7 linked regions of the Mus musculus genome follow. The protein of the gene in region 1 interacts with the protein of each later gene in a pairwise test. Links are inferred from orthologs where the notes say so. Each region holds a gene or a part of one and is shown on either strand. Other genes may lie near its edges.

Region 1 (4,295 bases):
ACTCGCTCTGTAGACCAGACTGGCCTCAAACTCGGAGATCCCCCTGTCTCTGCCCCTAAGTGCTAGGATCAAAGGAAGATGCCACTAATTTAATAAGACAAGAAAACAAATCAACCTGATTAACTCTAAAACCAAGGGCTGTGTCCAATGCCCTGATTGGCCCGGCCACATTTCTGCTCTGAGAGGGCAGCAGCTGTGCCAGCCCTGACCACTATGGTTGGAGAATGAATATGAAGTCATTTCAGACTGTTCAAGTATACAAGGGCTGAGCTCCCAGTTAGGCATACTCACAGGAATGTTGCCAGCAGTGGCACCAGCTCCAAATCTGGCACCTGCATCATACCCTCCTTCCACCAACACTGCTGAGCCAGGTGGATAGATGGGACCAACTGGATAATAAGCCATGGGGATTGTGGAGCCTAGAGGCCCAACAGCCACAGACTGGGCCATAGGCAGATACAATGAGGCGCCAGGAAATGCAGCTGACATGGTGGGGACTGTGGCAGCCCCTGGATGAACAAAGCTTGGACGATAGAGCTGAAAGAAGCAGAAGAGAAAGCAAAACATTATTTTTGTGACATTCCTATTTGGAATCTCTTTAAGTATTATTGAGACCATCTCCTGTAGCTCAGGCTAGCCTTCAAGTATGTAGGAGTGGATGACCTTGAACTCCTGACTCTCCTGCTTTACCTCTTGACTATGGAATTAGAAGCCTGTGCCACCAAACCCAGTTCACATTGTGCTAGGGACCAAATCTAGGGCTTGGTGCATGCTAAGCAAGCATTCTACCAAATCAGGTACATCCCCAGCCCCTTGTTTGGTTTTGGAAATGGGGTTTGGTTATACTGGCAGCCTTGAACTCAGCTTCCTCCTGACTCAGCCTCTCAATGCTGAGACTACTCGCCTGTACCACCACGCATGGCTCATGAGTCCATTCTTAGTTGTTTTTTTTTTTTTTTTTTTTTTTAAGATTTATTTATTATATGTAAGTACACTGTAGCTGTCTTCAGGCACACCAGAAGAGGGTGTCAGATCTCATTACCAGTGGTTGTGAGCCACCATGTGGTTGCTGGGATTTGAACTCAGGACCTCTGGAAAAGCAGTGCTCTTAACCATTGAGCCATCTCTCTAGCCCCTTGTTCCTAGTTCTTGTGTTTGCAGATTACACACTGGTTATAGTCACTGGCACACAGTATTCTGAGTCATTTGCGTCCACAGCTACTATTGTGCTCAAGGGACCCAAACTCAGCTTAAGTCAGCATGTGTCAAATAGCATAATCAGATACTGCATTCAATTCCAATGGTAATTTTCACCTTAAGTTCTAGATGATTCACAGAGCATCCTTCTGCTTGTGAAGTCAGATTTGAAGACTTAACAAGGGGATCCAAGAGTGTTCTCAACTAGCTACAAGTCTAGGAAACTGCAGTACCTCTGAATATGCAGGTGGAGCATCAGTATAGGGTGGAGCCTGAGGAAGATGTAAGGTCTGAGGATATACTGGATTCCCAGGAGGTTGCACAGGGTAGGTAGGCTGTGTTGGATATTGACCTGGAATACAAAAGGGGAGGAGAGATGTTGTCTGTCAGATTAGGAGGGGAGGTGGCAAACAGGAAAGATGCTCAGTGTGTGAGACAAAGTGCTGCTCTTCCTGAGGACCCCAGTTCTATTCCCAGCACCCACATATGACACAACCTCCTTTCAACGCTACCTTCTGCCTTGGTGGGCACCTACACTCACACTCACAGACACTTACACAGGCAGAGGCAGGCACACTTTGAATAAAAACAAGTTTGTAAGCAGAGCTACTAGACGGGCCAGGGTGCACAGGGTGGGGAGCAAGCAGAAGAGCTGCAAATAAGGCTGCCTTATTTCTTAGAGCCAGGAAAATAAGGATGGTCTCGGCACCCTCGCGCCCGAAGGTGCTGGCTTCTGACTGGGCAGAAGGCGCCGTTCCCACTAGCATACTGATTGATGGAGGCTAACTTGGCCATGTTCCCTTTCGAATAGAGGGCAGGTCTGAGGACCCGTTCCGGGGTCTCCGGACTGCTGGTGTCTTAGGGGACTCCTCTGGGTGATCTCCCCCGGGCTGTGCTGTAACCAGTCCTGACTCTGTGGGACCCACGGTTCTCAGTGTTTACCTCACGGGTTCCTAGTCAAGGTCGACCTCCAAAGAGTGAGTGACTGGAAGTTAACCGTGAGAAGGGCGGCGGGTGGAGGGGTGGGGAACGCGACCATGTTCTCACAAACATTAGCAACGCACAGGGGCGGCTACGAGTCCGGGCCCCGAGGAGGAAGCGCCAGAAGTCCCCGGCGGGCGAGAACGGGTCCTCGAGGGCCTGGGCCGTGCAGCGGAGCCGGCACCTCAGCAGTTAAGCTCGGCCGAGGCCTGTTGTTCCGAGGCGCGGCGCCCCGCCTCCGCCCGCCCTCCATTGGCTTCCCCAAATCCCTGCTCTAGCTCGCCATTCGCTCCAGCCGCTGTCCGTCACGGAAAAGCCCCCCCACCCCACACACAGGAGCCCGCGGCTCCAAACTGCGCCACACGGTTTATGGGGTCGGGGCCCAGAGGGCCGAGCGGCTGCGTTGTGGGGGTGGAGGGGGGCGGCCACGTCAGGTGCGGCCGCGCTGTGCGGCCCGCTGAAGAGAGCCGCACAGACCGCCCCAGGCCCGACGTCCCCCAGCCCGCTCGACCCGAACCCGCCCGCTTCCCCGACGGCCCCCGCCACTTCCCGGCCTTGCCTTTGCTGTTCATGGTGGCTCTGAGTCCGCTCCCACTCGGCGTCGCGGACGGTTATTTTTCTCGTCCTCTTCCTGTTCGGAGTCACTTCCGTGTCACGTGACGTTCGTCCACTCTGCGTCAGGAGATGCCCGAGTGCGCCGCCGCCGGAAACCCCGCCCCCTCGCAGGCCGGCCAGTCGCGGCAAGGAGGGCGCTCGCGGCCCTGCTCTGCTCGGAAGCCCCGCCCTCCCCGCGCGCTCTGCCCTCACGGCGCGCGCCTCCTCTGGGCTCGGCCCCGCCCCTCCCTGCGCGGCTTCGCCCTCACCGCGCGCTTTGCCCTCACTAATTGCCCCGCCCTCCCTGCGAGGCCCCGCCCTCCTCGCTCTCCCCGCGTTCCTTGCTCTCTCTGCGCGGCCCCGCCCTCACCGCGGTCCTTGCTCTCACCGTGCGCCCCGCCCTTATCACGAGCCACTCCTTCCCGCGCGGCCCCGCCCTCACCGCACCGCTAGCCCCGCCTCCCTGAACGCTCCGCCTTCACCGCGGGCTCCTCCTTTCTGCGCGGCCCCGCCCTCCCTGCGCGACCCCTCCCTCACCGCGCGCTCCTCCTTTCTGCGCGGCCCCGCCCTAAAGAAAGCGGAGTCAGCTCATCTCAGGGCGACTTCCTCACTGTGAGTCGCCTCTGCTCACCAAATTCAGGTGTGAACACAGGCTGTCACGACTCCACAGTGCCTGCGAGACGCAGCCCAGACCTCAGACCTTAGCCTGTCCGCCGTTCTGGTCCTTCCAGGCCTCTTGTTGAGGGCCCAGCGCCTGGCTTCGTGCTCGGAGATGGACCGTGTCCCCGCGCCCCGCCCCCTGTCCTGAGATAGACCGTGCCCCAGCACAAGCTGAGGGGACGCAGCCAGCACCTGCACCCTGGCCTGGCACGTCCTACGGGGACCTGAAAACTCCCTACAGATGTTGTGAGTGGTTTAGCCCGCGCTCAGTTGTCCAGAAGAGTAGCGACGACGTCTCTTAGGACAGTGATCACATTTTTTCCCGTTTCCTCGTTCCAGAATATCTGCTGAGCAACCGAACGCGCTCTCATAGATGCACAGAGGAACCGACCGCCGCAGCTGTCTGCAGAAGTTCGTGTTGTGCGTGGTCAAGTAGATGGGCAGGCTTTGGAGGGAGAGGTCCTTGGTGAACGGACTCCTGATTCGTCCGACACCGAAGGCCTTGCTTGTGTGTCAGGTGTCTATTTAACAGTTTGCGTGGCGTCCTGTAAATGCAGTTTCGTCCAGTCGGCAAGCACAGCAGCCTGAGAGGCTGATCTAGTTCAGCCTGGGGACCTGCGCATGAGTGTCATGGGTTCACGCCGACACACATATAAAAATAAACATTCGAGAAGAAAAGAAAAACTGATCTAAAGGACAGGTTACAGACTTGAGTTTTGTGTTCGGCCTCCCAGGTTCCGGGTCAGTATTTCCATTTTGGTTTCCTGTCAGCACACAGAGCATCCCCTAACTAGGCTGCGCTAACTAAAGGATGTTAGGGAACTCTCTTGGGTATTTTTTAAGTTCCCATTAAGTATTTATAT
Region 2 (3,500 bases), on another chromosome or scaffold:
TTCCTGCTTAACCTGGAGAGGAGGTCCTCAGCTAATTCCAGCCCATGAAACACTGAGCCTAGTGGGACTCCCTTTAGGGAAAAGCAGGCCAACACAAAAGGCCCCACTCCCTGGCCTTAGCAGAGAGTGAGGGGAGTTTCTCACTAATTCTGGGAGTCGTGTGTTAAACACACCCAATCTCTATGCCCCTTTATGTCCTAAAGAGATTCTAAATTAAAAAAAAAATTTGGAAAAACAAAACTGATATAGACCCAACCCCTATCCATAGACCACAGGATGCCATCTGTAACAGGAGTGACCCAAACAGGAGTGACTTCTTCCAGAGCACTGACACTTACCGCTTATAGGGGTCATAGGTGGGGCTGTCTCGGCGGGCATAACTATGGAGAGAACAGGGAAGGGCAGGAGAGCTGAGACCAGGCTGGCTAGTGTCAACTATTCCACTCTGAGCCCCAGTGCTGCAGATTGTACACCCCATGTCATTGTGGGGATCCCACATTGGTCTCCTTATTACAGCCCTGGTGCTGCCAGTGCTACACTGGAAGCCATGGTGACCAGTACCCAGCATGGTGACATCAGTGCTGGCGAGAAAACAACAGTATGTCCAACTAACTCAGTGCAGTATCTGAGTCTGAGGATTCACACTCTTCATAGGGGAGGAGCGGTCCCTGTGAGGGTAAGTAACGTCCTCTGGTGGCAGTGCCCTGTGTGGAGGGGCCTGTGGCCTGCTGCTAACCTTACACTGTCACACCCAAACCTTCCTCAGACATTTGCCCAGGGCTCCCAGGCCCAGATTCTTCTCTACTCATATGCAACTGCTCTCCCAATCCTCTCAAGACTTCATTGTGGGAAGTAGCCTCTCTCCACTTTACAATGGAGGAAACTAGCCAGAAGAAAGGAGCCTCTTATCTAGACCCTGTAGAGATGACACTGACCAGTGCAGGTGGGCTGTGTTGGGCCCAGCAGGTTGACTGAGAGGTGGGGGGCAGGTGGCCCGGGAAGCATTCCCATGCCTCCAGCTACTCCTAGCTCTGTAACTGTCGCCCCACTGCCAAGGCTGGGCTCCACTCTCCAGCCCCTGGCTGTGCAGAGGAGATATCCTACCTGGGAGGGCTGATCTTGCGGCCTCTCAGCCGCTTCTCCCGGAACTCTCTTCGCTGTCGCCGGGAACGACGGCCCTGGATGGGGAGGAAGCACCAGGACGGTGAGGTGTGCCCTCACTGGATCCACTTTTACCCCCGAGCCCTACCAGACCTCACCGAGTACATGGCTTTCTCCTCCTCCAGGGCTTTGGCATGTTTGATGGCCTCTGCCTCCTCCTTATCTTTCCGTAGCATCCTGCAGAGGAAGTTAGGATGGGCATGAAGGGCATAGGTCACAGAGTGGGCAGAGCCCTGGTAAAGGCAGCAAAGACAGCAGGGACCTGATGTTACTCCATGATTCCTTTCTCCCTGAACCAGGGCTCTGCTGTAGGCTAGCTGGTCTTTAACTCACGGTGAAATCCTTGTAGCCACGGGATGTGCAGGCAGGCATTACCCTACCCTTTCCTTTTCTGTTCTTCCCTTTGATGGGGTCTTGTTCTGTTGGGCCTAGCTTTGAACTCATAACCTTGCCTCAGCCTCAAGACTGCAGAATCATAGGTATGCGCTATTACACTTAATTTCCCTTCTGTGTTTAATAGATTTTATTGAGCACCTAAAAGAGCTGGTTTTAGACCTGATTTCTGTGTGCTCTGCCTGTGCATGTGTCTGTCACATGTGTGCCTGGTGAATGCCCTGGAACTGGTTGTGAGGCACCCTCACAGTTGGCACTCGGGGCTGGAGAGATGGCTCAGAGGTCAAGAACACCTACTGTTCTTCCAGAGAACTTGAGTTCATTTCTAATCGCCCACATCTGATAGCTCACAACTGCCTTTAACTTCAGCTCTAGGGGATCCAGCGCCCTCTGCTGGCCTGCACATGATGCACAAAACTATATATAGGCACAACACCCATACACATAAAACTCAGAACAAAACAGAAAGGAGAACCCCACAAGAACACTTTAAAAACTGTGTGTGGCTACTCCATGCCTGTAACTGTGAAAGGCAGAGGCAGGAGGATGGCTGGGGCTGGCCAGCCATCAGCACAGCTCCAGGCTCTCTGCTTTGGGCTGAGTAGTGGGGGCAGCAACAAGCACCTTTAATCCTTTAAGGGCAAAAGCACTGGAGCAGCGGCCCTCAGCCTGTGGTCCTGTCACCTTTGGCAAATCTCTATCTCCAAAACATTTACATTACATCAGAGCACCACAAAGATTAGTTAGGAAGCAGCAGTGAAAATACTGTTATGCTTGGGGTCACTACAACATGATGAACTGTATTAAAGGGTCACGGGGTCAGGAAGAACCTCTGAGCTAGAGGGTTCTAATAGGCCAGGGCAGGGACCTGGGGATTCATCCCCAGTGCCACACAAAAATGGTTTCTGGTCTGTCGGTGCCACTGATGTAAAGAGAGTGCTTGGTGTGGCATGACCAAGTACAGGCAGTGGCAGAGGCTTGCTCACTGTCATATGAACATGCATAGGGATGACCACTAGAGGGTGCTGTCCCCAAAGAACTAGTAGCTTCCAGGTCACGCTGTAGGACAAGATCTGTTTCTGCAGAAAGTGGGGCTACAAATTCATAGCTCACAGGCTGAGAACAGATGCTGGTAGCAGGCATGTGATACAGAAGCCAGGGCATAGCCAAAATCTGGCATGCCAGCCAGCACTCTCACCTGACAAAGTCTCCATCAGCCATGCCGTAGGTTGTGGCCTGCTTATTGAGATCAGCCACCTGCTCCTGGTTCAGCTCATCCACATCCACCTCCACGTCTGCACAAGAAAAAGGCTGTCAGGGACCCAAGCCCCAGGAGAGGGGGGAGGAGCACCCCAAGTCGGGGCAAGTCTGCCAGATAGAGCACCTTCAGGGAGAATGTTGCTGTGCTAGCACAGCTCTGAGGACCAAGCTGAGGCTTGGCCAGCACAGCACACAGCACAGCAGGGGACCAGTAGGGTGGGTGGACGAGTCTGTGGATGGAGTGCACGAAAGACAAGATGGGAGGTGGAAATAGATGGAGGTGGGGTGGGCAGAGAGCGGCACACAGAGGAAGGGCAGGAAGGACACACATGAACTTTGGCTCTGGCTGGGGCTAAGTCTGCATGTGCACCAGGAAGAGTAGGATAGAGACGGGGCAGTGACAGTCTTCTGGCCAGGCACATCCACAGGAGAAGGAGGTAACCATGGGGTATGAGCGATAGAAGCTGAAGGATGGGGGGCAGCTCTAGGAATGGGGAAAGTTGCTTTCCCAGAGCAAAGCAAGGCCAGCCTACGTAGAAGAGGAAGGGCTAGCTCCTAGGTGGAAGAATCTTCTAGAACAGTGCCCAGAAATGGGGAGGGAGAGCACATGGGATAGGGGACAGGCAAGACAAGGGACAGGGAAGGCTGGAAGTAACAGGAGACTGAGGCCCTGGAGCTGGGGTAGG
Region 3 (2,510 bases), on another chromosome or scaffold:
TGGGTTACATAGTGAGTCCCTGTGGTAAAGAGGACAGCCAGGCCTGGTGCCCATGCCTATAGTCTCAGGACTCTAGAAGCAGAGGTACCAGGAACCAGAAGACTAGGAATTCAAGATCATTCTTGGCTACTTAGTAAGGTTTTTTTTTTTGTTTTTGTTTTTTTGAGACAGGGTTTCTCTGTATAGCCCTGGCTGTCCTGGAACTCACTTTGTAGACCAGGCTAGCCTTGAACCCAGAAATCCGCCTGCCTCTGCCTCCCGAGTGCTGGGATTAAAGGTGTGCGCCACCACGCCCAGCTGCTACTTAGTAAATTTATGGCTAGCCTAGGCTACTAATTATCTCTGTGACAGGACAGAGGATATATAGCTAGTGACAGAGCACTTGCCCAGCATGCACGAGGCCCCATGTTCAATCCTCAGACCTAGGAATGGGGAAAGATTGAAAACTCTGCCTGAATTCTTGCAGCCTTTCTGCTGACCGCCATGCTGTTCTCTTTGCTCTGCAGTGCTGTGCTGTGGCTTTCATTGAGAAATTAGACGCCCAGTCTTTGAATTTAAGTCAGGAGGATTTTGACCGGTACATGTCTGGCCAGACATCCCCCAGGAAGCAGGAGTCTGAGAGTTGGCCCCCGGAGGCCTGCTTAGGTGTGAAGCAAATGTATAAGAACTTGGACCTCCTGTCTCAGTTGAATGAACGGCAAGAAAGGATCATGAACGAAGCCAAGAAACTTGAAAAAGACTTAATAGACTGGACAGACGGGATTGCCAAGGAAGTTCAAGACATTGTTGAGAAATACCCACTGGAGATTAAGCCCCCGAACCAACCCTTAGCAGCCATCGACTCTGAGAATGTGGAGAACGACAAGCTCCCTCCCCCTCTGCAGCCTCAGGTGTACGCAGGGTGACGGCCCTGTTTATTTGGGGCTGGTTTCTGGGAGCTGCTGCGTTCCACTGTTCAGGTCCGGAATATGAACTGACTGCTTAAAGTTTCAAAGTGTTTTTAGGTACAGATTTAGGGATTGGTTATTCTCTTTTTTCTTCTCTAGCGGGGAAGCTTAGTAAATAATAATGTACTATTTATTTGAGCTGGTGGAGTAGGTTTGTGTGAATTCTGTGTCGCTCTTTTATGTCCTGCCTGATTTCCCATGGGCTTCCTCTGTGTAGACACTGTTGTTGGTTTTGGGCAAACACTGCCTTTTAAAGGATAAAACAGATGCTATAAAGTCTATGTTGAAATGAATTCTATGTTCCCACACTCCCCCAGTGTGAAATAATTTTGTAATTGTAAAGATAGAAGATAATGTTAATAAGTAAATATGTAAAATTGTAAATATGTAAAAAAAAAACACATAGGGCTGGGGAGGGGTGTCTCAGCGTGCATGGCATTTCATGAGCTGATGTTTTTTTTTTTTTTTTAGGTGAAAATGAAATTTATTGAATGTTTGCCTTTAGCGCCATTTTATATGGTTTGTCCCACTAAAAAGAATCTAAAGAATTTGAGCTTTAACAGGACATTGGCACTAACTGCCCTAACTTGAGATTCTTTCTGGTACATGTGAAGAAGTTGTAACGCCAACTTTTAGGTCACATACAGAATTATTCTGGGACCCTGGGGTGGTGGCTCAGTCAGTAAAGTGCTCTCCATACTGATGTGAGGACCTGAGCTCCCTGTCCGGCCCCGGGTGAAAAGCTGGGCATGGTGACACTCACTTGGGACAGCTCTGCTGGGAGCCAGAGTTCCTGGGGCAGGGGGCATCGCTGTCAATGAGACACCTCGTGTAAGCAAACAAATCAAGATGGACGGCTCCTGAGAAATGATAGCCAAGGATGCCCTCTGGCCTCCACATGGCCACATATGTGCCTGTGTACCTCTACATACATGTGTAGCACACACACATGAACACACAGTTGCTGATTAGTACAGTTGACTTGGAACTGTGCTTGCAGCTTCCTTTCCCTGTTTATCCAATAAACTTCCCCCACAGTGCTGTGGGGCTATTGCCTTTTTTATCTGATTGGTTTTGTTTTGTTTCTGGGTCTTTGGGGACGGGCTGTTGCTGTGTAACCCAGGTAGCCCTCAAACTTGTGATCTTCCTATCTCAGCCTCCCTCCCGATGTTGGGATTAGGGGTCTCTTACCACCACACTCAGCTCCTTCACACAAATCATCCCAGAATTCTGTGATACAAAGATGTGCTCTTAGATGGGAGTTGTAGGGAATGAATGAGGCTTCTGGAAGTTGATGGGGGAACTTCTCAAAGCGTGAAGCAAGCAGATGCCTTGCGCTCTTCATAGTCTGCTTTAACTTATCAACAGGCAACAGAGTCAGCAGGTCACATAGACATCTCTCAGAACTTTCAACCTCAGAGTTGACCATTGGGGTCTAAGATTTTCCTGTTATGGCAAGACTGCCTTGTACATTGTGGGATATTGAGTAGGATTTCTGCCTTCTGTACTCAGATGCCAGCAGCGCCCCCCCATGTTTGTGGGAACATGGCCTCCATTCATGTG
Region 4 (4,116 bases), on another chromosome or scaffold:
CGGGTTTCCAGTGCAATCCGTTAACATCCGACCTCCACATTCACTATCATCACAGCGGGCTAACGGCATTTTTCCCTCTTTCTCTCTAGAGACTCCTGCGCCATGAGAGCGAAGGTGAGCGGCTCTTAGGTGGTGAATCGGGCACCTAGTCCCCGCCATGGTTCCTCTGCGGGCTTCCAGACGGTTTGCCTCGGGTGTTCGCAGTCAGGGAGAGGCTTAAAATTCTTGCTGAAGAAAAGATGGGGTGGGAAAATGAGGGATTCGGCTCTAAAACTGAACCGGTGTCCTTTGTCAAGCCCTGTGTTCTGAGCAGTTTCATGGCCTTGCACAAGCCTGTCTCTAACATTCTTTTTTGTCTCCTCACATGATCGGGTTTTTTTAGTGGCGGAAGAAGAGAATGCGCAGGTACGTTTAATTTTTCAAGACTACCTTGGGGCAGTGGGGGCAAGCTCGGTGTGGGATATTTGGTTGGAAGAAAATATCTGGCGGGAAGGAAGCAGGAGTCGCCGCCCAGTACAGCAGAGCTGGTGCTTGTTAATCTCATCGTCTCTTGTACTCGTGCACTAAGTGTACGTATTGATAGATGTGCAAAGGAAAAAAAAAAAACTCAGGTTTGTGTGCCTTCCATTCCAGGCTGAAGCGCAAGAGAAGAAAGATGAGGCAGAGGTCCAAGTAAGCCAGCCCGTGCACCTACGACGCCTGCAGGAGCAGAAGTGAGGGATGCTGAGGGCCGGGACAAGCTATCGGACTGTGTGCTGCCATCGGTAATGAGTCTCAGTAGACCTGGAACGTCACCTCGCCGCGATCGCCTGGAGAAATGACCGCCTTTCTTACAACCAAAACAGTCCCTCTGCCCTGGACCCCCGGCACTCTGGACTAGCTCTGTTCTCTTGTGGCCAAGTGTAGCTCGTGTACAATAAACCCTCTTGCAGTCAGCTGAAGAATCAAACTGCTGTTACGTGTTTTTTTGCGGTTCCTTGGGGTGGGGACTCGAGTGTGTTTCTGTATAGGCGACATAGTTTGGGTGTTTGATCTGGCTGGAGCCGGTTGAGTGTGCGCCCGAGGTTAAGTTACAGAGTTGGTGCGTTCACAGCGCCACTCCTACGTTTTGGGGGTACCACTGCGTAGAACCTGACGCTGAGCGGAGTTCCGGGTCCGGCGGAGTCCTGTTACCATGGTGATGCGCAAGGCTTGTTGGGAGCTTCCTGCGCCTACTAGCACGCAAGTTGGACCATAGAGTGTGTTTCCGGGTCTGGTAGCTAGAGCGTCTCTTTCTTCCGCAGGAAGCGGAAGAACCGTAGGGTGGGCGGCTCTTTGTCGAAGCTAGAGGACCGGCAGGCGGCAGCAGCAACTACGGCGGCGGCGGCAGGTGAGGGAGGCGGGAGACTTAGGTGGAGGCCGCGCCCGGAGGGGAGGAGTCGGGGATGGCCCAGCGACTGGGTTCTGCCCGGCCACACGAGCCTCCCCCAAACCCCCCGGAACCGACCTGGCTCTTCCTCGTTACCCAGGACAGAGCCCCTTTTCTCACTGACCTCGCTTCCCAAGCAAACGCCAGCCCCGTGACGTCACAGCCCTGCCCATCCCTCCGCCTGATGTCACCCCGAGCCCCCCTCCCCTTTCACTTCCTCAGTGTCCCAGTCACCTGGTCCACCGCTGAGTGCTGGCACCGCATCGCGGAGCCGGCCAAGCCAGAAGACTTCCAGGGAAACTCGTAGGACTTTTCGTGAACTCTAGGGTGTTGGGGGATGGTCGTAATCACCGCCCCCGAGTCTAGTCTCGCCTTCCCACTGACACTAGTCAGTTGTTGCCCTTGTCCAGCTTTCAGGTTTGGCTGGCGTTCCGAACTCCAACCCTAGATCGGATTCTGAACCCCATATCCTTCTCATCTTGAGGTAAAGCTCCGCTAACCTTCCTCACCAGGAACTGTTTTGTTTTTTAGTTCAGCTTCCCAATTTTTATTGGTCGGTTCTAGCCCTTATCCTTCTTAATAGGGACTTCTCCTTGTGATAGGTGACGTTCACTTTGACCTCTTAAGGGAGCCTAAAAGCCACAAAGCTCTTAGCTTTTTGTCAGAATTCATTCCAGTGTATGAAAACCACATCATATCCCTTTCACGTTTTTCCCTTGTTCTACTCAAATCTCCGTTTTTTGTTTTTTTGTTTCTTGTTCAGAACCCAGCAGTGATGTGGAGGTGGAGACTCACGGGAGCCCCGGACTTCACCTGAGCTACCTCAGGTATTAATTCTGGGATATTGGGGTGAGGAAGGCTATCATATCCAGTTATCTGCTTCTAGTGGGACTTGAAACATTGGTCAGGCTTTGAAGGCATTTAGTCTTCACCTGATCGTCATTTATGATCTTTTAAGGGCTTGTTTCTTACCAGTTGTTTCTTATATTCTGGGGCTCCTTTTCCCATCTTGTGTATTCCTGTGCATCTCTGACTTCTAATCTGGTTAGTTATTCTAGCAAAGTCAAGGAAGTCAAGGAAACGGGAAATCAAGAAAGGTATCTTTATTCCCAAACGGAAACTAGGAACTTCTCTTATTTGAACAGTAGGGGGAGCCTGAGTCCTACTCAGGGAACATTTAAAAGATTAGACACGTGGTAGCAGGGACTCCCAGTCTTAGACTCCCAGGGTTAGAGAGAAGGGAGGGCTAGAATTAGGGCAGTGGACTGACATTCCAGAGCTCTCTTGAGAAACAGGAGACTTAAAAAGCTTTTATAGAGTCTATAAATAAAGAGGATTTTTATGGGGTAAGGAGTGCTATGGTTTGATATCAGTGGGATTTTCATGGAGTGGGGTGGGGAATGGGGAAAGAAAGGTCACCGTTCCTATGAAAGTAACTCCTTTCCACCTTGTCCTTCGAACAGTTCGTCCTGGGGATCTAAAAGTAGAAAGTTCAGCTCAGAACGTCTTTCCATGAAATGAGGGTGTTTGTGTGTGGAACACACTGGGAGATGGACAGGTTTCAGGGTTACCCTGTAGCTAGTGACACCAGTTTTGTTTTGTTTTGTTTTGTTTAACCAGGGATTTCTAAAATACATGGAGACTTGAGCTGAGTTTACGTAGAAGAGGGATTAAGGGAAGTTCTGTTTCTGGTGTTCCTTCTTCCATGAGTTCTCAAAGCTAAGCAGCCCGTGTTAGAGCACTCTTTCCAGTGTCAGTCTGTTCACACACCAACACCTGTTTTAGTTTCTCCCTCACAACTTAAATGAGAGAAGGTAAAAATCTAACACTCTCCCCTTCCCTCCCCCTCCTTGGCTGAGCATCATTAGTAAGATGAAGTGGCTTCATCCCAGCTCTCTCCCTCCTGTGTTAGCCAGGCAAGTGTGAATCACTCCAAACAAGACCAGGTGCATAAGGGCCTGGGCGGGACTTCTGGCAAGTCAGCCGGGCTAGCTAGAATTCTCCTTGGATTCTCCATCTCCCAAAGCCATTGCCCCAGAAGCCTGCCCACTGTATGGTCAGGAGAGAGGGAGCTTTCCGGAGGACCCCTTTCTGACACAGTTCTCTTTTTTAACAGTCGCCAAGAGTGGCAAGAAAAGGAAGAAGACCCTGACTTGGGGGGGACCAGGATGCCTGACCGGGACAGCTATGCCAACGGCACTGGCAGCAGCGGTGGAGGCCCTGGAGGTGGTGGCAGTGAGGAGGCCAGTGGGGCAGGGACAGGCAGCGGGGGAGCCACCTCAGATGCCATCTGTAGAGACTTCCTGAGGAACGTCTGCAAACGAGGCAAGCGATGTCGATACCGCCACCCAGACATGAGTGAGGTATCCAATTTGGGGGTAAGCAAAAATGAATTTATCTTCTGCCATGACTTCCAAAACAAGGAGTGTAGCCGCCCCAACTGTCGTTTCATCCACGGCTCCAAGGAGGATGAGGATGGCTATAAGAAGACAGGAGAGCTGCCTCCCCGGCTGAGGCAGAAAGTGGCCGCTGGGCTGGGTCTCTCACCCGCCGACCTACCCAATGGTAAGGAGGAGGTCCCCATCTGCCGCGACTTCCTCAAAGGTGACTGTCAGAGAGGAGCCAAGTGCAAGTTTCGTCACCTGCAAAGGGATTTTGAGTTTGATGCTCGCGGTGGAGGAGGCACTGGAGGTGGAGGCTCCACAGGC
Region 5 (4,041 bases), on another chromosome or scaffold:
CACCAAACTTTGACTGGAGACCAAATAATATAAGACCCCATATTTAAACACGAACATTAAACCTTCTGGACAAAAGCAAGGCTCTTAACAATCTTGTAAAAGCCGTGCCTCCTCGATACCCCACCACCAGCTGAAGTTCAAGAATCTAAAGACACAGGCAGTGAGACCATATGGATAAATAAATTCAGAGAAATCAAGGAAAATCAGGACTTCTATGATTTTTGTATGGGTGAGTGTGACAGTGTTAATTCTGAGATTTACCAGAGAAAAACCAATTCCACCATTTTGGGCCAAATTTGAAGGAAGCTTTATTAGATATTAAATACTGACCAAGAGATGGACTTTGGCCAGGACCACTAACTGGCACCTCCAGCTGGGTGGCCTGGAAACACATGTTGGAGGGGCTTTTCTGGACAAAACTCACTGGCCCCCATACTTTCCCACAAGATTTTATTGTTTTCCAAGAACTACAACTCTTAGCATTCTGGAAGTTACCTGGTTCTTGGAAGGGTGAGGCTTACAGGTTAATTTTGGGCATTACATTAGTATATATTATATTGAAAGCAGATTCTGGATCAGTACTGGGTAATTTATCAGATTATATTCCATTTTATAACTGGGTAAGTAAAAAAGCTTGGAATGTTTTGAACATCATAGTAGGAGCTCTTATAATGTATTCCTATTAATTGGAACCCAAGCTTTAGAGTAATTAGTGGCATGGCATAGACATTCCTGAGAAGTGGTATCTCTGCAGTCTGGAATAAAAGCTAGAGTATTAGGTTAAAGACAGGCTCCGGGGTAAGAACAGTTTGTATAAAACCAGAGGAAGACCAGTCTGGGGGAAAGCAGATGCAGTTCAAATTGGCTGGAATACCAGAAAGCAGTAAGACGTTTTAGCAGAGGGTTTTGGACAAGAGTGCTAAATAGCTTTACAGCTTACTTGACTGAGTCAACCTCAGTTTCTTCATGAAGTTAGAATGGGCTGTCATGCTATACAGGAACTAAACAGGACTTCATCTGACCCAGTGACTAAAACTGGAAAATAGCAACAAATGTCCAATTCTCTCTTCCTGCCATTCTTAACATTTTAAAAACTATACACGGGGTTGTTCACTTCCATGGAGGTTCCCCAGAAGGCTAGAAGTGCTTAATGTCCTGGAGTTATACGTGGCTGTGAATGCTGGGACAGAACTCCAGTCCCCTGCGAGAATAGTGCATGTGTTCAACCTGAGCCATCTCTCTCCACACTGCAGCCCCATCTTCTCCTTCTCACTTAAACACAGAACAAAAAAGCCACCAGAGTAGACTGCCTGCCTGGCCTATGGTCAAATCCAGTTCTCTGAGTCCCATACATGGCAGTAAATGGGTATTTTCCAGAGATTTGCTGAGGCTTATTATACTAATCTGTAAATAAATCTCTTAAGTCACTGCCTGGCACTGAGCAAAAAACTCAACAAATGTTAGCTTTTACAACCGATACAATATGGCCACAAACCTTTGTCTATTTTCAAAGCAGAGAGCAACTAAAAAAAAAAAAGCAATTTCCTAAGTACTGCACAAACTTATTTGGTGGCAAAAGCTGACCCGACATTATTTATCCATTTCATTTTCCACCCACTCCCCGCTATAGTCTGAATAGTTACAACTGCTGAATTTTTTTCTTTCCTTCCCTAAAGTTTTGGGACTTGAATTTAGGACCTTGTAGCAAGCCGGGCTAGCACTTATCTACAGGCTCACCCTGTGCAAATATTACTAATTAACAGTCCCCGAGTCTAGGGCTCCTCTATAGTTAACAGTCACAGAATCTCAAGATTGCTGAATTCCTAAGGTTCCTGAGCCCAACGCTCAACCTCTGTAGGGAGAATGAAGATGACACCGATTCCTTCTGTAATCAAAAAGAACATTCCAACCTCGGCAGCTGCAGGAAAAAGTTTTTGAAGGGAAGTGTTCTAGAGAGTGGCTCCAATACTCCACGACTAAAAACTGCCCTCCTCCCCACCCAAGGAGCGCCACTAACAAAGACTTCCGAGGGCGACTCCAGCTTCTGAGGGTTTGGCCTCCAAACAGGCCTTTCGCACATGGGGGAGGGGGCAACACGTGTGTGTTTCTGTAGTAGGCTGTTACACATCTACGGTGGGGTCTGGTTTAGATACTTCAACTTTAGGATTCGTGAAAACATTACTTTCAGTTTTCATGGCAGGGAGGAAAAAAAATGGTTCAAGCGTTCTAGCTAGCTCAAAGGAGAACGTCACTCACTCAGCCCATGGCACCTTCTGTCCCCCGTAGTCATTTAAAGAATGGGTAATTACGATCAGCGAGAAGCTTGTCACACAGAATTATCAGGCGCCAGACCTTGCTGTAAGGATTCGGGTCTCCTCCACTGTCGTTTTTATTAGAAATTAGTGGCTGGGATACCGGTGGAGGGGCAAGGGGACGGGGGGGGGGTGTGGGGGACAAACAAGCTGCCCTTTAGGGTTAAGGGAACAAAGGGAATCCGGGATCAACCGGAGCGAACCAGCCCCCAGCCGGTCACGCAGGCGGATGTGGGGGAGGGTCGCCCGCTCCCGCCTAACCCCTCACCCCCCGCCCGCCCCCGCCCAAGCCTGGCATGACGTGGGCGCCCCGGAACCCGACGGGCGCGACATTAGATCCCTCGGTCGCCTGGTTCCCGGGGGACCCTCCCCATCGAAAGCTCTAGAGCCGCCAGGCCCCCCGGGACCCCGCGTCTTCGCATCGTCTCCCGCCAGCCTCGCGCCCCGCCGCAGGCGCCCAAGCGGACTCACCCGGCAGGATCCGAGTCCTAGGCGCGGCACAGTGGCGGCGGTGAGTCCAGAGAGACGGGCAATGGAGACCCGCTGAAGGCCTGATGGACCGAGACGACAGCGACACGGCTCCTCCTGGCACCGGAAAAGGAAGCGGGGAGGCCGACCTGGCCGCCCGTTATTTCCGCCCGCCCCGCCCAGCTTGCACTGCGCCTCCAGCCGGCCGCCCACGAAACTGCAGGCAGGGCCGCGTGGCTCCGGGAGCCTGGGCTGTTTCCCTCTGGGTGGAGCGCGGGAAGGTTTCCCTGCTTCCTGAGTCCAAAAGACCCAAAGGAAACCCCCTGGCCGGTGATGCTCACCGCAACCCAGGGACTGAAAGCGGAGTTTGGATTCTCTGTGTTTAGAGGTTTTTGTAGACAGGCTCCAAGCTGGCTGTCAGTAGTCCTGTTAAAATCGAGGGTAAAGAGATGAGGGAAAAGGGAAGTCTTTCTAAAGGTCTTGCGAATGAAAACTTTTAAAAGCATATGTCTGCAGAGACTGAGTTGTATAAGTTGGAATTTCAGTACTGTGGAAAGATTGGAATGTTGCAGGTCCAGGGGCTAATTACCTTATCTTGGGCTAGTGCTAGCCCTCCAGAATAGCCACCTCTGTGTCAAAACTAATATCTTGTGGCAATAAGATTAAAAACCTTTTAGGTCTATTAACAGGCAACTAGCCTCTGCCAATCCAAAAGCTAAGAATGTCATCGGATAATGTCTTAGATGTATAGAAAAGCTTCCTCTATCTTGATGTACCCTCCAATGTATCCATCCACCAGTGTGTTTTAAACTTTGCCTTGATTTATAGCGTTCTCTGTTCTGTAAAACTAAAAACCTCGTGATACTGGTTCCATGTTGGGACATGGAATTTGAGGTAACCTAAATTTGTGTTTTGGTGCCATCATCATTCAAAAATGGGTCCAGAATAAGCTATCTCTGATTCCCTTTAAGTTTTAAATTAAGAATAGTGGCCTCAACCTGTGGTTTATGAACCCTTTGGGCGTCGACTCTTTCATAGGGGTCGAATATCAGATATTTACATTATTTATAACAGTAGCAAAAATACAGTTATGAAGTAGCCATGAACTAATTTTCTGGTTGGGGGTTACCACAACATGAGGAATGGTATTAAAGAGTCACAGTATTAGGAAGGTTGATAAGCCACTGCTGTAAGATGAGAGGTGTTGGGTTTTTGAGACTGGCCTCTGTTTCTGGGAGACTCAAAACTGACATACCAGAAA
Region 6 (3,500 bases), on another chromosome or scaffold:
CAGTTTCTCTGTGTACCCCTTAGGACTGGGAGATCTGCCTGCCCCTGCCTCCCAGGACCTGGATTACAGGTATATGCCTATTCTGATAGGAAAATGGGACGTTCATTTCTGCCCTTGCTGACAGGAAAATCTTCCAGCTTCCTTCGGCAAGGGTTCTCTGAGCTGGAGCAAACCAAGAGTTGGTCCCATTGTACCAGATTAACAAAAAGAAAAGAGAAGTCGTCAGACAGGGTGTGATGGCTCTACCTTCCAGGAACTGAGTTGGATAAACAGATCTAAGCAAGCCACCCTGGCCTAGAGGACAGAGGGCTGCCTCTGCGGCCACTTCCACGCCTTGGGCAGTCAGGACTCTGAAACTCTGGGTTCTGGCCATTGACCTGGTCTACAAGCAAGTTCCAGGACAGCCAGCCGTTTAATTGGACATGTAACATGTAGTTTCTACTACCCTGCTCTAAGCTCCGGTGGACCTAGCTACCAGCTTCCACCCAGGAGCCACCCTAAATCTGTGAATGAAACACACACACACATTAGCTTATTTCTGATATGCTTGAGCTTAGTGTCCGGGCTCTTCTAAGCCTTCCTTGGCTAGTGTGCCCTTCTGTTCACTCCCAGCTCCACACCTCTGAATCTTTCCTCAATTTAGTTGCTCAGTTACCGTTAGTCCCAGCTCAGCACCCTAAATCTGCCCTCAGCTTAGTTGTGTTTCAAATCTCCTGCCTTGCCACCCCAGGCCCAGGCCCAATCAGGGAAGAGGTCAATGGTCACTCAGCCCACTCTGATATCTCACATGGCTGGTGGCTCTTTCTCCCTCTGAAGTATAGCACATCTTTTCTCCTCTCCCTCTAGTCTGCCTGCAGGGAAACCGGAAGTTCCGCCTCTTCCACCCAGCCATTGGCCGCTAGCATCTTTACTGATCGATCAAGAACCAATTGGGGAACAGGACCTTCAAGGTTCACATGCAGATCCCCAATCAGCATCAGAGCCACCCCATTCAGTATCACACGCCTGTAACCCCATCCGGCGGGAGGCAGAGACAGGAGGATTGCTCCATGTTTTAGGCCAGCCAGGGCTACACAGTGAGACATTGTCTCAAGTAATTAATTCATTAATAAATAAAAGATTTGGTCAAAATCTGATGCCTGCTTGCCTCAACACCTGAGGCAGCTTGCCTGATATTTTTGCAGTGGCTAATCTGTGTCACTTTTGCAACATCCTGCCCGGGCCAGGGCTTTCACTAAACAGGGTGGCACTTGTGGCTTCTCCCGAGGCCATCATCACAAGCCGGGAACCCCCATCACTCCCCTTTGTCTGACACCTGTCTTGACCAGGGGCTGGAGGACTTGCAGTTCAGTCATGACGGACAGCACAGGCAAGGACAGGAGGACAGCACAGGCAAGGACAGGAGGACAGCACAGGCAAGGACAGGAGTGCTGGACTTAGCTGGGCCTGGCCAAGGCCATCTGGAGGGAGGGATTACAGCTCTTTGAAGGCTATCAAGAGACCTTGTTATTGAGGTCCTAAGAGCAGTTGGAGGTAGGGGAACTCATAGATGAAGCTATGGTAACATTCACTTGAGCTACTCCAATGCTTTCTGCCTGAACATGGGCAGGTTTGAGAGTGTCCCCAGCACTCCCTATCCAGACTCCTCTGACTTGACCCTGGATGATAATGAAGAGGCTAAGAAGGGTTTCCTGCAGAGATGTAGGGGTGTGGCTAGAATAGAGGAAAGAATAGAGGGTGGCTGCTGGGCCAAGGTGACCCAAAGTGTCTGTGCCCATCTGTCTGTCTGTCTGTCTGTCTGTCTGTCTGAGCACGTGTGTTGCTTAGCGTGAGGTACTGACCAGCAAAGAGCACTCTGGAAGGAATGTGAGCATTTCCTCCTTCCCTGGCTGATGTGAAGGACCACCCCTCAGCCCCTTCCCCACAGTTCCTCCTCACCACAGCTCACCTGCCTCTCCTCTGCTCCCCTTTCCCAGCAGCACCTCCGGCCAAAGGGAACACAGAGCAGTCAGAAGAAGGTGACCTCCCGCAGCTTCCTGTATCCCCCAAGCCAGATGATGAGCAGAGCAGGAGCCAGAGCCCCACCCAGCTCCAGGTGAGTTAGACAAATCCTGGGAGCTCTTCCCTGCTGAGCTCAGCCTCCAGGGAACCTGAGACACTTCGAGCTCTGAGAGGGAGACAGGCGTCTCTGCCTCATGCTGCAGAGCTGCCTGGAGCCCCACCTCAGAAGGTGCGGGATATGGGTGCTAGGCAAGGCAGACTAGGTACGACAAGCCACTGCCTCACCCAGACTTGTAGCAGAACCCTGATAATCTAACAACCTGGACTCAGTCACAAAATGGACAGACATAAGTCTGAGGGGCTAAGAGATGCTCCCACCTATTGGTCAAGCTGATAGTTGGAAGCTGCAGGCCCCCTGGTACTAGGAAACACTGTGTGTCTGTGTGCATTTAGCAGTTTTGTGTGTGTTTGGGGGGGACAGGGTATCTCTGTGTAGCCCTGGCTGTCCTGGAACTCTCTCTGTTGACCAGGCTGGCCTCGAACTCAGAGAGTTCTGCCTGCTTCTCCTGAGTGCTAGGATTAAAGGTGTGTGCCACCACTGCCTGGGGCGCATTTGGCTTTTACCATACGGTTGAGGGACTCTGACCCTGCCTTCCAGGAACTGAGTTGGATAAAACAGATCAAAGCAAGATATAAAGGGGGTCCTGACCTGGAGAACTGAGGCCTGCCCCTGTGGCCACTTCCAGGCCTTGGGCTGCCAGGACTCTGGGACTCTGGATTCCAGCTGTTGACATGAACCTGGGCATTAAGCCCAGGTTGTACCCGTGAGAGCCAGGACAGGAGGCAAGGTGCTCCCAGGGAGCCCACAGATGGGGCCTAGGCACTCATTCCTTCACACAGAGGCGGTTTCCCAGTGCCCAGCTGCCCATCAGTGGGGCCCGCCCATCCATGCCTCCTGCTCTTTCCCCAGGACTCCCCTGAGGCAGGTGGGGAGCAGGAGGAGGAACAGGCCTTCCTGGTCAGCCTCTACAAGTTCATGAAGGAGCGACACACGCCCATCGAGAGGGTGCCCCATCTTGGCTTCAAGCAGAGTGCGTCCCTTGGGGGGGGAGGATGGTGTTCAGGGCGGGTAAGTGTAGGGGGGCAGCAGCCAGGGGATGTCCCCAGGCAAGACAACAGGCAAGGCACCTCTGCTAAAGGTGACCCTGGATGCCGCCAGCCTGTAGGGGTTGCCTGTGAGGACGGTGCCTCCCTGAAGGCGAGGGGTGGAGTTGGGTTCTCATCCTCATGGGCAGCCTGCCCTGTCCATAACAGTGGTCCTGCCTGGGAGTGTGGGGTCACAGAGCCTGACCGTCTGCCTTGCCTCTTCCCTTCAGTTAACCTGTGGAAGATCTACAAGGCAGTGGAGAAGCTGGGGGCCTATGAGCTGGTAAGGAAGGACTCTCTCAAGTCCCTCGCTGTGCTCCAGCCTCAGCCATACCCCCCAGCAGGAGCTAGGG
Region 7 (3,500 bases), on another chromosome or scaffold:
GTTGTGACCAGGTTCTCAACAGAATAGGCTACATAATAGCAATAGCCTTTGCCCTGAACACTCAAACAGGAGCAGAAACAAGGCAGAAGTCAGTAACCTGAGTACATTGTGAGACAAAAATGTGAAATTCTTAATGAGAGAAAGGTGATAAATTACCCTTCAAAGAAAACAAAAAATCCCCACCTAGTTAAGGTAGCCATTTTTTTTTCTTGAGCAAAGAAAAATGACTATATGTAAAAAACTGGATTTGAGTTTGAAACTAACATCTGTAGAAAAAAAGGTGACTACTTACTATAGTCATTGATTTATGTAATAATTTTCACAAAAATAACTTTTAGTTGTAGAAAAATATGCCTCACAATTTCAATGTTATAGCTAGATGGCTAGCTTCATGCCTATGGATGGATTGAATTTTCTCTTAAGTTGTATTTGTTCTATTCTTCTGGCCAATAAGGCCCTATTACTTAATAATTATTAATTTGGTCATTAGTGCAGTGTTTCTTAATTTCTTCCACCCTCCTTCATTTGTCTTCCATCTTGTTCCTTTAAGATAGGGTCTTGCTTATGTAAACCAGGCTGATATCAGGCTTGCTTATCTTCTTACGTAGTCTCCTGAGTGTTGGCCATTGGAGATATGTCCTATCATACTCAGCTTTTAGAAAATGAAATAGTTTGACTTATCAGTTCTTTTGGCATATAGTTTTCCATAACAGCACCTTTGTATACCTTATTATACTTTAGCCAAAGTTTTATTAATTAGCTAGGAGAGAAACTTAGCGGGGACCTTGATCAAGCTTTCATAAGCTACTAGATGCTTGTCATAATTTATGGGATGAAGATATTTTAAGCTTTAAAGTATCTGTGTAAAGAAGGTTCTATTTTATTTTTATATATGTTGTAACAGCCTTGGATATTTATTTTCGTCTTTGAGTCATGCTGAGTTCATTAGGAGCAATGGTTTAGATACAGGCATGTGTTGTAGTGCTCGTATGACACTTAGTGGGTCTTAACCTCCACAGTGTCCTATGAGACCTGAGTTGTCACTGACGTAATAAAAGTAAGATGTCAAAACACCAAAAAGCAAATTAATTAAAAAATTTTTTGTTTAATTTTTGTTTCCTGCCCTCTGGTGGAGAAGTTAGTGAAATAAAAGTGCATGAAAAGCAGGGGTGAGAAACCTATGTTAGTAATTGATGTGCTAACAGTAAGGGCTAGACATGTGGTGCATGCTTATGCTCTTCACACATAGGAAGCTGAGGTAAGAGCATCACAAATTCAGTCAGACTTCACTACATGACATTGTTTGAGAACAAAACAAACAAAAGTCTTGGGAGCTAGAGAAATGGCTTGGTGGTTAAATGCATTTGTAATCATGAGGACTGGAGTTTAGATCCCAGAACTTATTTTTTTTTTTTCCATTTTTTATTAGGTATTTAACTCATTTACATTTCCAATGCTATACCAAAAGTCCCCCATATCCACCCACCCCCACTCCCCTGCCCACCCACTCCCCCTTTTTGGCCCTGGTATTCCCCTGTACTGGGGCATATAAAGTTTGCAAGTCCAATGGGCCTCTCTTTCCAGTGATGGCCGACTAGGCCATCTTTTGATATATATGCAGCTAGAGTCAAGAGCTTCGGGGTACTGGTTAGCTCATAATGTTGTTCCACCTATAGGGTTGCAGATCCCTTTAGCTCCTTGGCTACTTTCTCTAGCTCCTCCATTGGGAGCCCTATGATCCATCCATTAGCTGACTGTGAGCATCCACTTCTGTGTTTGCTGGGCCCCGGCATAGTCTCACAAGAGACAGCTACATCTGCGTCCTTTCAATAAAATCCCAGAACTTATATAACAAGCTGGGCAACACTGCAAAGCCTGTAACCCCAGTTTCAAGCCAGCTTTCTGACTTCCAGCCTGATCAAGAAGAAAACTCCTTAAGCTCAAGGGAAGGACCATGCTTCAAAAGGAAAAAAGTTGTAGAATGATAGGGGAAGGCTTGATGCTTGCACACCCTATACATACATGTGTGCATATTTTCACATGGACATATGATATACTCACAAAAACACAAAAGGTTGAGTATATGAAAGTTTAAATGTTAGAATTTCAGGCTTATTTTATAGTCTTGGTTTATACAATTTGAGATAATAAATATGGGATTGAAATGATAAGAAATCAGAGACAAATGTAGTGGTAATGCGTATATTCTTGGTACCCAAAAGATAGGAGACCCCTTTTAAGGCTGGGCAATAGTGGCACCTGCATTCAATCTCAGCACTCAGGAGGCAGAGGCAGGCAGATTTCTGAGTTTGAGGTCAGCCTGGTCTACAGAGTGAGTTCCAGAACAGCTAGGGCTACACAGAGAAACACTGTCTTGAAAAACCAAGTTATTATTTGGTTATTTATTTGAGACAGGATTTCTCTTCATAGTCCTGGTTGTGCTACAACTCACTATGTAGAGTAGTTTGGCCTTTAACTCATAGAGATCTGCCTGCCTCTGCTTCCCAAGTACTGGGATTAAGGGCGCTAGTGCTACCACATTGTCTCTCCTTCTAAAAGAGAGCTCTCTGAAGTATACACAATTTTGTTTTACTGAAAGATACTTTATTGTTGTCTTTAAGGGCCTTCTTGAAGTATCACAAAGTTTGAGAGTGGAAAACGAAGAGTTTATGAAGAGATACAGTGATGCTACAGCTAAAGTTCAACAGCTTGAAGAGGACATTGTATCAGTGACACATAAAGCCATTGAAAAAGAAACTGACCTAGACAGGTATCCCTGGTATTTTAAAGAAATCACTTCGGTTATTAACAAAGCTACTTAGGGTTTGACTAATGTTTTTTCATCTTACACAGTTTGAAGGATAAGCTCAGGAAGGCACAGCATGAGAGAGAGCAGCTTGAATGTCAGCTGCAGACAGAAAAGGATGAGAAGGAGCTGTATAAGGTAAAGTCCTTTTCTAGTGTCGGCCTCTGCTTAGCCCCAGTGGGCTTTTGGGGTTGGGGATTGGAGAGCAGTTCAGCTGGGTGCCTGGTCACTTGTCTCGTTATAGTCACGAGGATGACAAGGACTGTAGTCAGCTAATGGGGGGCCTGGACAGTGTACTTCCATGGTTGACCATGCTTTAATAGGGAGATCCTCATAGCTTTTGTAAGGAGGTTCTTCAGTTGTCTCTAGAAGGCCTCTTGAGTGTCATAATTATGATGGTTGACTTCAGAGTGAGCAGTCCAAGATGGGAAGGAAACGAGATTACGATAGTGGATACTGTCCCTGAAATGCAGTATTTGGGAAATTTGCTGGTGTTTTAGATACATAATAGGTACTGTATAATAAATGAAAGCTTAGTGATGACAGGATAGTTGTTTATCAGAATTTCTATAAAGTGTTCTCACCTTTTAAGAATATACATATTTTCAGTGATGATGCTTAATATTTTTTACATTATTTGTTGTGTATATACATGAACATCCGTGATTGTATGTACAAGTGTGGGCATGCAGAA

The links.
Region 2: the proteins of Dazap2 (region 1) and Clasrp interact in a two-hybrid assay, tested with the Homo sapiens proteins (2 studies listed by BioGRID and IntAct). The link is inferred for Mus musculus from reciprocal best matches to the Homo sapiens genes DAZAP2 and CLASRP.
Region 3: the proteins of Dazap2 (region 1) and Rabgef1 interact in binary tests that used the Homo sapiens proteins (3 or more experiments, as listed by UniProt). The two-hybrid records come from large-scale screens. The link is inferred for Mus musculus from reciprocal best matches to the Homo sapiens genes DAZAP2 and RABGEF1.
Region 4: the proteins of Dazap2 (region 1) and Zc3h10 interact in binary tests that used the Homo sapiens proteins (3 or more experiments, as listed by UniProt). The two-hybrid records come from large-scale screens. The link is inferred for Mus musculus from reciprocal best matches to the Homo sapiens genes DAZAP2 and ZC3H10.
Region 5: the proteins of Dazap2 (region 1) and Mapk1ip1l interact in binary tests that used the Homo sapiens proteins (3 or more experiments, as listed by UniProt). The link is inferred for Mus musculus from reciprocal best matches to the Homo sapiens genes DAZAP2 and MAPK1IP1L.
Region 6: the proteins of Dazap2 (region 1) and Arid5a interact in binary tests that used the Homo sapiens proteins (3 or more experiments, as listed by UniProt). The two-hybrid records come from large-scale screens. The link is inferred for Mus musculus from reciprocal best matches to the Homo sapiens genes DAZAP2 and ARID5A.
Region 7: the proteins of Dazap2 (region 1) and Tax1bp1 interact in binary tests that used the Homo sapiens proteins (3 or more experiments, as listed by UniProt). The two-hybrid records come from large-scale screens. The link is inferred for Mus musculus from reciprocal best matches to the Homo sapiens genes DAZAP2 and TAX1BP1.

Annotation. Positions count from the first base shown.
Region 1 is NC_000081.6:100,614,167-100,618,461, reverse strand, and holds the start of Dazap2 (DAZ-associated protein 2), read right to left. Parts: upstream 2,801-4,295; 5' UTR 2,751-2,800; coding exon 2,738-2,750; intron 2,413-2,737; exon of another isoform or gene 2,140-2,412; intron 1,550-2,139; coding exon 1,431-1,549; intron 538-1,430; coding exon 292-537; intron 1-291. UniProt on the Homo sapiens protein: In unstressed cells, promotes SIAH1-mediated polyubiquitination and degradation of the serine/threonine-protein kinase HIPK2, probably by acting as a loading factor that potentiates complex formation between HIPK2 and ubiquitin ligase SIAH1.
Region 2 is NC_000073.6:19,587,487-19,590,986, forward strand, and holds part of Clasrp (CLK4-associating serine/arginine rich protein), read right to left. Parts: intron 2,850-3,500; coding exon 2,753-2,849; intron 1,339-2,752; coding exon 1,260-1,338; intron 1,179-1,259; coding exon 1,105-1,178; intron 381-1,104; coding exon 339-380; intron 1-338. UniProt on the Homo sapiens protein: Probably functions as an alternative splicing regulator. May regulate the mRNA splicing of genes such as CLK1. May act by regulating members of the CLK kinase family.
Region 3 is NC_000071.6:130,212,328-130,214,837, forward strand, and holds the end of Rabgef1 (rab5 GDP/GTP exchange factor), read left to right. Parts: intron 1-506; coding exon 507-905; 3' UTR 906-2,010; downstream 2,011-2,510. UniProt on the Homo sapiens protein: Rab effector protein acting as linker between gamma-adaptin, RAB4A or RAB5A. Involved in endocytic membrane fusion and membrane trafficking of recycling endosomes. Stimulates nucleotide exchange on RAB5A. Can act as a ubiquitin ligase.
Region 4 is NC_000076.6:128,544,947-128,549,062, reverse strand, and holds the start of Zc3h10 (zinc finger CCCH domain-containing protein 10), read left to right. Parts: upstream 1-1,316; 5' UTR 1,317-1,369; exon of another isoform or gene 1,370-1,892; intron 1,893-2,171; 5' UTR 2,172-2,235; intron 2,236-3,524; 5' UTR 3,525-3,576; coding exon 3,577-4,116. Other genes in the region: Rpl41 (60S ribosomal protein L41), read left to right, coding at 103-114, 383-405, 634-676. UniProt on the Homo sapiens protein: Specific regulator of miRNA biogenesis. Binds, via the C3H1-type zinc finger domains, to the binding motif 5'-GCAGCGC-3' on microRNA pri-MIR143 and negatively regulates the processing to mature microRNA.
Region 5 is NC_000080.6:47,297,148-47,301,188, reverse strand, and holds the start of Mapk1ip1l (MAPK-interacting and spindle-stabilizing protein-like), read right to left. Parts: upstream 2,801-4,041; 5' UTR 2,784-2,800; intron 2,414-2,783; exon of another isoform or gene 2,257-2,413; intron 1-2,256. Other genes in the region: uncharacterized protein Gm35078, read right to left, coding at 2,801-3,206.
Region 6 is NC_000067.6:36,314,233-36,317,732, forward strand, and holds part of Arid5a (AT-rich interactive domain-containing protein 5A), read left to right. Parts: intron 1-1,976; coding exon 1,977-2,095; intron 2,096-2,971; coding exon 2,972-3,092; intron 3,093-3,377; coding exon 3,378-3,430; intron 3,431-3,500. UniProt on the Homo sapiens protein: DNA-binding protein that may regulate transcription and act as a repressor by binding to AT-rich stretches in the promoter region of target genes.
Region 7 is NC_000072.6:52,734,229-52,737,728, forward strand, and holds part of Tax1bp1 (tax1-binding protein 1 homolog), read left to right. Parts: intron 1-2,621; coding exon 2,622-2,770; intron 2,771-2,853; coding exon 2,854-2,944; intron 2,945-3,500.